2 linked regions of the Macaca mulatta genome follow. The protein of the gene in region 1 purifies or fractionates together with the protein of each later gene. This does not show direct contact. Links are inferred from orthologs where the notes say so. Each region holds a gene or a part of one and is shown in the gene's direction. Other genes may lie near its edges. The genes, in order: RAB5C and GDI1.

Region 1 (4,304 bases):
TGAGCTTTGATTCCACACAGGTTTTCAGTAGTGTCCCTGGAGGGTGAGATGCAAAAGAAGAGGAGGTACTGGTCTGTGTTGAGAGGTAAGGGTGGGAGGAATCAGGAGCGGGCCCCATCCATATTGAGACGAGTAGAAGAAACAAATATTCCTGATCCACATGGGGGGGTGCAGAGTGGGGGTGGTTCTAGTCTTTATTTGCGGATGGAGAGGGCCCAGGCAGAGATTGTCCAGCTCTGTATTCCGTGTCAGAGAGAAGAGCTGACCCTGGCTGGGAGCAGGGGAAGGCAGAGGCAGAGATGGTCTTTGTGCCGGCCCCCTGCACCAAGTAGGAGGTGGTGGCAGAAGCTCTCCGTTTGATCTCACCCAGCATCCTGTAGAGAACCCTTCCTACAGCGCTTTCATCGCCTTCCCCATCACAGACGCCCCCAGCAATCGGGCTTCCCAAGCTGACTTGGCCGGAAAGTGCAGACAGGGGCTTCTCCAGATCGGCAAGTTCGAAGGACTGAGGCCTCGCATGCATATTCATTCGCACCATGTTTCTTCTTTCCCAATTCTGCACACATAGTCCTCTGCCTTCTTCCAACGCTCCACCACCCGCCTTCCCTCGGGGCGTCCGGAACCGGCGGTGACCGGGTGGCAGGCTTGGCCTCAAAAAGTTCCCGGCCATAGGCTGGGCGCAGTGGCTCAGGCCTGTAATCTCAGCACTTTGAGAGGCCGAAGAGGGCGGATCACCTGAGGTCAGGAGTTCGAGACTAGCCTGGCCAACATGGTGAAACCCCGTCTCTACTAAAAATACAAAAATTAGCCGGGCGTGGTGGTGCGTGCCTGTAATCCCAGCTACTCGGGAGGCTGAGGCAGGAGAATTGCTTGAACCCGGGAGTCGGAGGTTGCAGTGAGCCGAGATCGCGCCACTGCAATCCAGCCTGGGCGACAGAGTGAGACTCCGTCTCAAAAAAAATAAAAAGTTCCCGGCCGGGCTCGGCCTTGTAGTCAGCCGGCTCCAGCCTAAGCCCAAGTCCCAGGCAGCCACGGACTCCTCCCATCGCCACGAACTACAAGTCCCGCCATCCCTCGCGCGCGCCCTCCCGCCACTCCCGCGTTCCTACCGGCGCCGCTGGGTAGGTCGGCCAAGAGTGCCTCCCATTGGTTTCTCCGCCCTGTCAATCACCAGGGAGTATTGAGGGGCGGGGCGGAGGTAGAGATCCGGATCCGGAGCGGCTGAAAGACGGAAGTGGAGGCCGGAGCCTGGGACACCGCCGGGGGGGGAGAGAAGCAGAGCCCGTCCGAGCCCCGGCCCCAAGTAACGCCGCCGCCCCGGAGCCGCCGTGAGTATTCCTGTCCCAGGACCTGGTGTCTCGCCTGCGTTGAAGCATCTCCAGGGCAGCCCTTCCTCCCGCCCAGCCCCAGTTTAGGGGGATACTGACCCCTCCCCCGACCCGTAGCCCCCTCTTGAGGGGTTCCCCAGGCGTCGGGCCGCAGGAGATGGGGAGCTTCTTTCCTTAGCTTACCTACCTTTCGTGAGCCTTAAGGAAATCGCTATGACTGTCCTCTGGCCTGTCCATTCCAGTTGTGGGAGAGAGGTGCCTAAGTTCCGCTCCCCCTGCTCCCAGAATCGGAGGATCTTTGCCAGGTGTGAAGGAACCTGTCCCTCTTCTCTTTTAGAAGTGACGGAGAGTGCTGTCTGTCGCCGTTTTCCTTCCTGCTGTCCCACAAAACCAGTTGTCCCCTCCAGCCCTAGAGGAATATCTCGATTTCCTTTGGGGGAGGGGGTCGTCTGGGTGAGACCGTTCCACACGCACAGAAGTGTGTTGGCGCTCCCGCAACTCCTTACTTCCTCTCTTTCCTCAAGCCAGAGAACCATCCAGGACCTCAGCAGAGTTTAAAGTTTGGGTCACTTACTGGCAATGAGCTGTTTTCTTGCTTTGCCCCTTCTGTCTCCCAGCCCCTGTTCTCTAGTTATGTTGTTCTCTGAGTGTCTCTCTCTTCCTGACTCTGAAGAATTTAGCTGAGGTTTGCTCAATTCCAGCTATAAATCACAGATCAGGGTGGATGTGCCCATTCATTATCTTCTTTCCCCTCCCCCCTTGCTCCAGGCTCAGCTCTGTCCTCCCACAGCACGTGAGTGGTTTCCAAGCCGCCTCAAAGGGACTGCTGCTTTTGGGACTGCTGTCCGTGTGTCTATAGGGAGGAGAATGAGACCCAAAATGAGGAGTCTGGAATTGAAGGGCTATCTCTTTCTCACTCCCAAACACACACACACACCCCACGCTGAGCAACAGGTCCATGGCACGCCAGGGTCTGTCTCCAGTCCCTTCTGGGCTTGGACTTATTACTGAGGACTAAGTCAAGATCACAATGGCAGTTCAGGATTTTTAACTGTAGCCCAAGGAATTCCCATACATGCCAGAAAGTGCAGGTTCCCTCAAGCATATTGACTATGATCCTTGTCTGTTGCTTGGGGCTTTGGTGTGTGAAATAGCTGCTGTCTCAGACCAAGCTTTGTTATGTGGCCAAAGTACAGGCCGGAGACTGTGCCTTAATGAGGAGTAGCCTGGCTCTGAGGCCATGACCGATCCTTGCTATCTACAGTGAAGGAAGGGACAGAAAACCATGCAGTTTGTGGGAACTTCTGTAGCACTTCAGTGTTCTGGGCTACCTTTACCACCCTTGCGTGCCACTTAAAAGTGCTGTCTTTTGACCTTGAGGTGTGTTTGAGTGCTTCTGGACAGCGGCTAGTGTCTGATTCCTACATTCTTTTGAGTAGACCTAGGATGTACTTATTTCACTTTTTTGTTTGTTTATTTTCTTTTTTTTTTTTTTTTTTTTTTTTTTTGAGACGGAGTCTCGCTCTGTCACCCAGGCTGGAGTGCGGTGGCCGGATCTCAGCTCACTGCAAGCTCCGCCTCCCGGGTTCACGCCATTCTCCTGCCTCAGCCTCCCGAGTAGCTGGGACTACAGGCGCCCGCCACCTCGCCCGGCTAGTTTTTTGTATTTTTTAGTAGAGACGGGGTTTCACCGTGTTAGCCAGGATGGTCTCGATCTCCTGACCTCGTGATCCGCCTGTCTCGGCCTCCCAAAGTGCTGGGATTACAGGCGTGAGCCACCGCGCCCGGCCTGTTTGTTTATTTTCGAGATGGAGTCTTGCTCTATCCTCCAGGCTAGAGGAGTGCAGTGGCGTGATCCCGGCTCACTGCAACCTCTGCCTCCTGGGTTCAAGTGATTCTCCTGCCTCAGCCTCCCAAGTGTCTGGGATTAACAGGCATCCACCACCACGCCCTACTAATTTTTGTATTTTTAGTAGAGAAGGCGTGTCACCATGTTGGCCAGGCTGGTCTTGAACTCCTGACTTCAGGTGATCCACCCGCCTCAGCCCCCCAAAGTGCTGGGATTACAGGTGTGAGTCACTGTGTGCGGCCTACTTACTTCACTTTTTATTGGACAACAGAAGAAGCCTTCGTTATTAGGGTCAACAGCTGGATCACAAGCTCTGTATCTGTGTGGGTTCCTTTGGGGCTCATTGGAGACTTCTTCAGCCAATCTAGTTTCTCTGATCTGGTCAGCCTGGGTATCTGAGCGGCAGGGCCAGAGAGGCCTGACTGCTCACTGGCCATTGGTCTCTGACCAGACTTAGGTCTTCAGGAGTAGAACGTAGTTTGTCACTCTTCATGAGTGCTGGGATGAGGCCGACCAGGCTTCTGAGGAGATCTTCTTTCCTTTATCTGGACATGGTCTCCCAGCTCTGACTCTGAAATGAATTTTTTTTTTTTTTTTAGACAGAGCTTTGTTTGTCGCCCAGGCTGGAGTGCAGTGGCGCAGTCTTGGCTCACTGCAGCCTCCGCCTCCTGAGATCAAGGGATTCTCCTGCCTCAGCCTCCTAAGTAGCTGGGATTATAGGCATGTGCCACCATGCCCAGCTAATTTTTGTATTTTTAGTAGCAGCAGAGTTTCACCATGTTGGTCAGGCTGGTCTGGAACTCCTGACCTCAGGTGATCCACCCACCTCAGCCTCCCAAAGTGCTAGGATTACAGGTGTGAGCCACCACACCCGACCTGAAATGACTTTTGAAGGGGAAGCTCTGCCATTTAGAGAGACGAGGAAGGCCTCAGTGCTTTGGGTAGTTATGCAGCCACTTCTGGCATCCAGAAATTATAGAGTCCAAGGAGAGGTCTCACTCTGCCTAGCAGAAAGAGCGATGGCTCCATGTGCGCCAGAAACCCTTCCTTTCTGATGCTGTTCCTCTCCTGCCCTCTTGCCTCTCACAATTAGTGGACTGTTAAACTGTAGAGGGGCCGTAACACTA
Region 2 (4,278 bases), on another chromosome or scaffold:
GGCAGTCTCCTCGTGGCCCGCACGCAGCCCTCCCCCTGGCAGATGATGCTTCAGGACTTCCAGGTATGGCGCAGGGGTGGCCCAGCTTCAGGTGGGGGAGCCCAGGCTGGTGTTTGAGAAACGAAGAGAGGCTTGGGCTTGGGAGTCCTGTCCCTGCGCTGCCCTTGTCCCAGTCCTTGCTGGGCCTCCCAACGGTCCTTTCTGACCCGTGTCTGTGTGTCTGCCAGATCCAGGCTTTCAACGTGATGGGGGAGCAGTTCTCCTATGCCAGTGACTGTGCCAGCTTCTTCTCCCCCGGCATCTGGATGGGGCTGCTGACCTCCCTGTTCATGCTCTTCATCTTCACCTACGGCCTGCACATGATCCTCAGTCTCAAGACCATGGATCGCTTTGATGATCACAAGGGCCCCACCATTTCTTTGACCCAGATTGTCTGACCCTGTGCCAGTGGGGGGTTGAGGGTGGGAGAGTGTCCGTGTTGTTGCTTTCCCACCCTGCAGCACACTGGACTGGAGCTTCCCTCTTCCTACCGCAGCATGAACCCCAAGCTCCCCTCAGCCCATCTTGCTCCCTCTTCAGCCTGCTGAGGAGCTTTCCTGGGCTGCCCCCATCTCTCCCAACAAGGTGTACATATTCTGCGTAGATGCTAGACCAACCAGCTTCCCAGGCTTAGTCGCTGTGAGGCGTAAGGGACATGAATTCTAGGGTCCCCTTTCTCCTTATTTATTCTTGTGTCTACATCATCCCTGGCTGTGGATAGTGTTTTTGTGTAGCAAATGCTCCCTCCTTAAGGTTATAGGGCTCCCTGAGTTTGGGGTGTGGAAGTTCTACTTAACTGTCCTGCTTGGCTGTCGTTATCGTTTTCTGGTGATGTTGTGCTAACAATAAGCAGTACACTGGGGTTTATTTCTGTGGCCTGAGAAGGAAGGTGGGCTGGGTGCGATCGTCGGCTGTCTGGCATGTTCCCACCGGAAGTGCCTGGCAGGAGCAGGGGGTGCTCGGTTGTTTCCTTCCTAATAAAGTAAACGAGGATCGCCATGCGTTGGGCCTCTTGTCGCTCATTTCTGCGCTGAGCTTTTGGCGCGTGCTCGCCAGAGGTATGCGGGAGGATGGAGCCTGGAGAGGGGGAGGCTAGGAGGCATCCCCGGAGACCGGGAGGGGCTTTAGTAAGCTGGGCCCTAACCGCTTAGGTCAGGGAGGGGTGGTCGGGCCGAGTCCCGGTGCGCTTCGGCGTCTCAGGAGGCCGTAGTGACAATGGCAGCCTTCGCGTCGTGAGGGAGCCGCCCCCGGCTGCCGCAGCGGCGCGCGTCCGGTCGCGGGGCCGCGCCGAGACTCCCGGGGGGCGGGGCGGGCGCGCGCGGGGCGGGGCGGGGCGGGTGGGGCGGGGCGCGCGCGGCTCCCGCGCATGGATCCTTTCCGGGCCGCAGCACCGGCCGCCGGCCCGCCCCGCCCGCCCCGCCCGCCCCGCCCCGAGCCTCTCTGGACTCTCGGCGAGCAACGTCGCCCGCGGAGCCGCGCTGGTGCTGTGGCCCGGGCCCTGGCAGCCCTCCCGGGAGGCGAGCCGGGAAGGCGGTGTCCCCTGCCGGGTGCGGCGGGGCGCGGGAAGAGGCGGGACTCTTTGACGCGGCGGAGGGGTCGGGCGGCGGCCGACGCTCCGCCATCTTTGGTCCAGTGCGGTGGCGGCGGCGGCGGTGGCTACTGCTGTGGTGAAGGAGGAGGAGGAGCCGAGCGGGCGCTGCCACTGAGGCCTGACCATGGACGAGGAATACGATGTAATCGTGCTGGGGACCGGCCTCACCGTAAGTGCGGCCCCGGGCGCCCTTGGCCCTGCGTCGTGCCCTCGCCATTCCCCGCGATGATGCGGCCGCCGGCCCATCCTCCGGTCACTGCCATCTTCTGCGCTCGGCTCCCCGAAAAGCCGGCGCCGTGCCCACCCCGCTGCTCCCCCCGCGATGTCGCCTCTGTTCGTTGCCATGACCCCATCTCCCCGAAGGGGCCCCCTTCCTGGCCGCCCCCTGGCCTACCCGGGTCCGACCCCCGGCGCTCTCCCATCTTCCCTACCCCTGCCCTCTGGACCGGAAAACGCACCCCCACTCGGCCCGTTGCCCCCGACCCCGCCCACCCATCGCCCCCACCCCGCCCACCCATCGCCCCCACCCCGCCCACCCATCGCCCCCACCCATCACGGCATCCACCCGTCGCCCGCACCCATCGCCCGCCTAGCGTTGCCTCCCAGCGTCCCTTCCCATCTTGCGCTAATCCCTGTGAGGATGAAGTACAAGGACCTGGGGTCAGGGGGCCTCGCCAGGGTGGGCTCTCAGCCCACCCCCTCGTCGTCTTCTGGGGCCAGGGGATCCAGGGAATGTTCCAGAAGGAGCAGCAGTGGGGGCAGTAAGCACATTCCCGCAACCCCACCTCGGTTGCCCATGGAGACCTCAGGCTGAGTAGCATCTGCAGCCTTTGTCCTTGGGCTAGTGACAGTGACTGGTGAGGGTGTTTATCTTCCCCCTTTCCCCGAAAATCCCGTTGGCCCACTCCCCTCAGAGACTCTTCTCCCTCGGTCCAGACCCAGATGCCCCTCCTCAGCGGCAGGGGCTCCTGCTCTTTGAAGAAAGAGCAGTCCAGGGTGGGGCCTACAATTTCAAGGACTGTGCTAAGCCTTTCTTTGCTTCCCTTTGGAGTGTCCTTCGCAGTCCAGCTGGGTCCCCTCTGTGCCACATTGTGTTTTATCCGCCTTTTTGTGCGGCTCTGCGTAGGTAGATGCCTCTCGGCGTGTTGGTACTGGAAGGCCATCCTGTGTCTGCTGGATGCCCTGCCTACCTCAAAGCCTCCGTTATTTCACTGTCTGCCTTGTGAGGGGGACGGGTCTCCTTTACCCCGCAAGGTTGCAATGGAGAGTGTGGTCGGATGAAACCATCACCCCAATTTTAGGCGAGGCAACTAGCCGGTGGGGGTGGTGGATGGAAGGAGCTGTCCACTGAGGCAGGTTTGGGTGGGGAACAAATCAGGGCTGCTGGTAGGAGCAGAGGAAGGTGGGAGTGCAGCGGATTGTGTGGCCCTCCCCCAGGAATGCATCTTGTCGGGCATCATGTCTGTGAACGGGAAGAAGGTGCTGCACATGGACCGGAACCCCTACTACGGGGGCGAGAGCTCCTCCATCACACCCCTGGAGGAGGTGAGGCTGCCTGGGCCCAGGCCCATCCCTGTTAACCTCCCACACAGCGGCACAGGGTGGAAGTAGCTCTCCAGGTGCCTGGAGCAGGAGGAGGTGGTCCCTGAGGTGTCTCTCTCTCCCTTCTGCTTACAGCTGTATAAGCGTTTTCAGTTGCTGGAGGGGCCCCCTGAGTCCATGGGCCGAGGCCGAGACTGGAACGTTGACCTGATTCCCAAATTCCTCATGGCTAACGGTGAGGGACAGGAAGGAGGTATTGCAGGTCGGGGGTGATAGGGAAGACCTAAGGACAGTCAGGCTCCAAAGGAGGCGCAGCCAGACCAGCTAGAACCTCTGGAGAGAGCCGTGCTGATGTTGCCCTTGTGCACCCCCACAGGGCAGCTGGTAAAGATGCTACTGTATACAGAAGTGACTCGCTACCTGGACTTCAAGGTGGTGGAGGGCAGCTTTGTCTACAAGGGGGGCAAGATCTACAAAGTGCCGTCCACTGAGACTGAGGCCTTGGCTTCCAGTGAGTGTGGGCCCCCTGAGCCAGAGAAATCATGGGGTGGCAGGGAAGCCAACTGTCTTTGGGATGGGTGGCTGTCCAGAGTAAGGTACCCCTTTGTCCAAAGTCACATTCCCCCATGAAGGGGACCAGAGGCCCTTCACTCTGTATTCCCTCTGCCCCATGTCATGCCGCATGGCTGGCTGCCAAGAGGGAGGTCCCCACGCAGCAGGGATGTGACGTGGAGGGGAACGGGACTCCTTTTGAAAGACTTGAGCGTGGCCAGGCGCGGTGGCTCATGCCTGTAATCCCAGCACTTTGAGAGGCCTAGGCGGGTGGATCACGAGGTTAGGAGTTCAAGACCAGCCTGGCCAACATGGTGAAACCCCGTCTCGTCTCAAAATACAAAAAATTAGCTGAGTGTGGTGGCACACACCTGTAATCCCAGCTACTCGGGAGGCTGAGGCAAGAGAATGGTTTGAACCCGGGAGGTGGAGGTTGTGGTGAGCCGAGATCATACCACTGCACTCCAGCCTGGGCGATAGAGTAAGACTCCATCTCAAAAAACAACAACAACAAAGAAAACTTGAGCCTTTGGCAGGGGCTCCACTGGATCCTC

What was found.
Region 2: the proteins of RAB5C (region 1) and GDI1 purify together in Homo sapiens (affinity purification with mass spectrometry; 3 studies listed by BioGRID and IntAct, counting the BioPlex papers as one, with this or other methods). This does not show direct contact. The link is inferred for Macaca mulatta from reciprocal best matches to the Homo sapiens genes RAB5C and GDI1.

What each region holds. Positions count from the first base shown.
Region 1 is NC_133421.1:66,492,614-66,496,917, reverse strand, and holds the start of RAB5C (ras-related protein Rab-5C), read left to right. Parts: upstream 1-1,211; 5' UTR 1,212-1,328; intron 1,329-4,304. UniProt on the Homo sapiens protein: The small GTPases Rab are key regulators of intracellular membrane trafficking, from the formation of transport vesicles to their fusion with membranes.
Region 2 is NC_133426.1:160,618,949-160,623,226, forward strand, and holds the start of GDI1 (rab GDP dissociation inhibitor alpha), read left to right. Parts: upstream 1-1,471; 5' UTR 1,472-1,754; coding exon 1,755-1,799; intron 1,800-3,067; coding exon 3,068-3,175; intron 3,176-3,307; coding exon 3,308-3,407; intron 3,408-3,548; coding exon 3,549-3,683; intron 3,684-4,278. Other genes in the region: ATP6AP1 (V-type proton ATPase subunit S1), read left to right, coding at 1-63, 228-437. UniProt on the Homo sapiens protein: Regulates the GDP/GTP exchange reaction of most Rab proteins by inhibiting the dissociation of GDP from them, and the subsequent binding of GTP to them. Promotes the dissociation of GDP-bound Rab proteins from the membrane and inhibits their activation.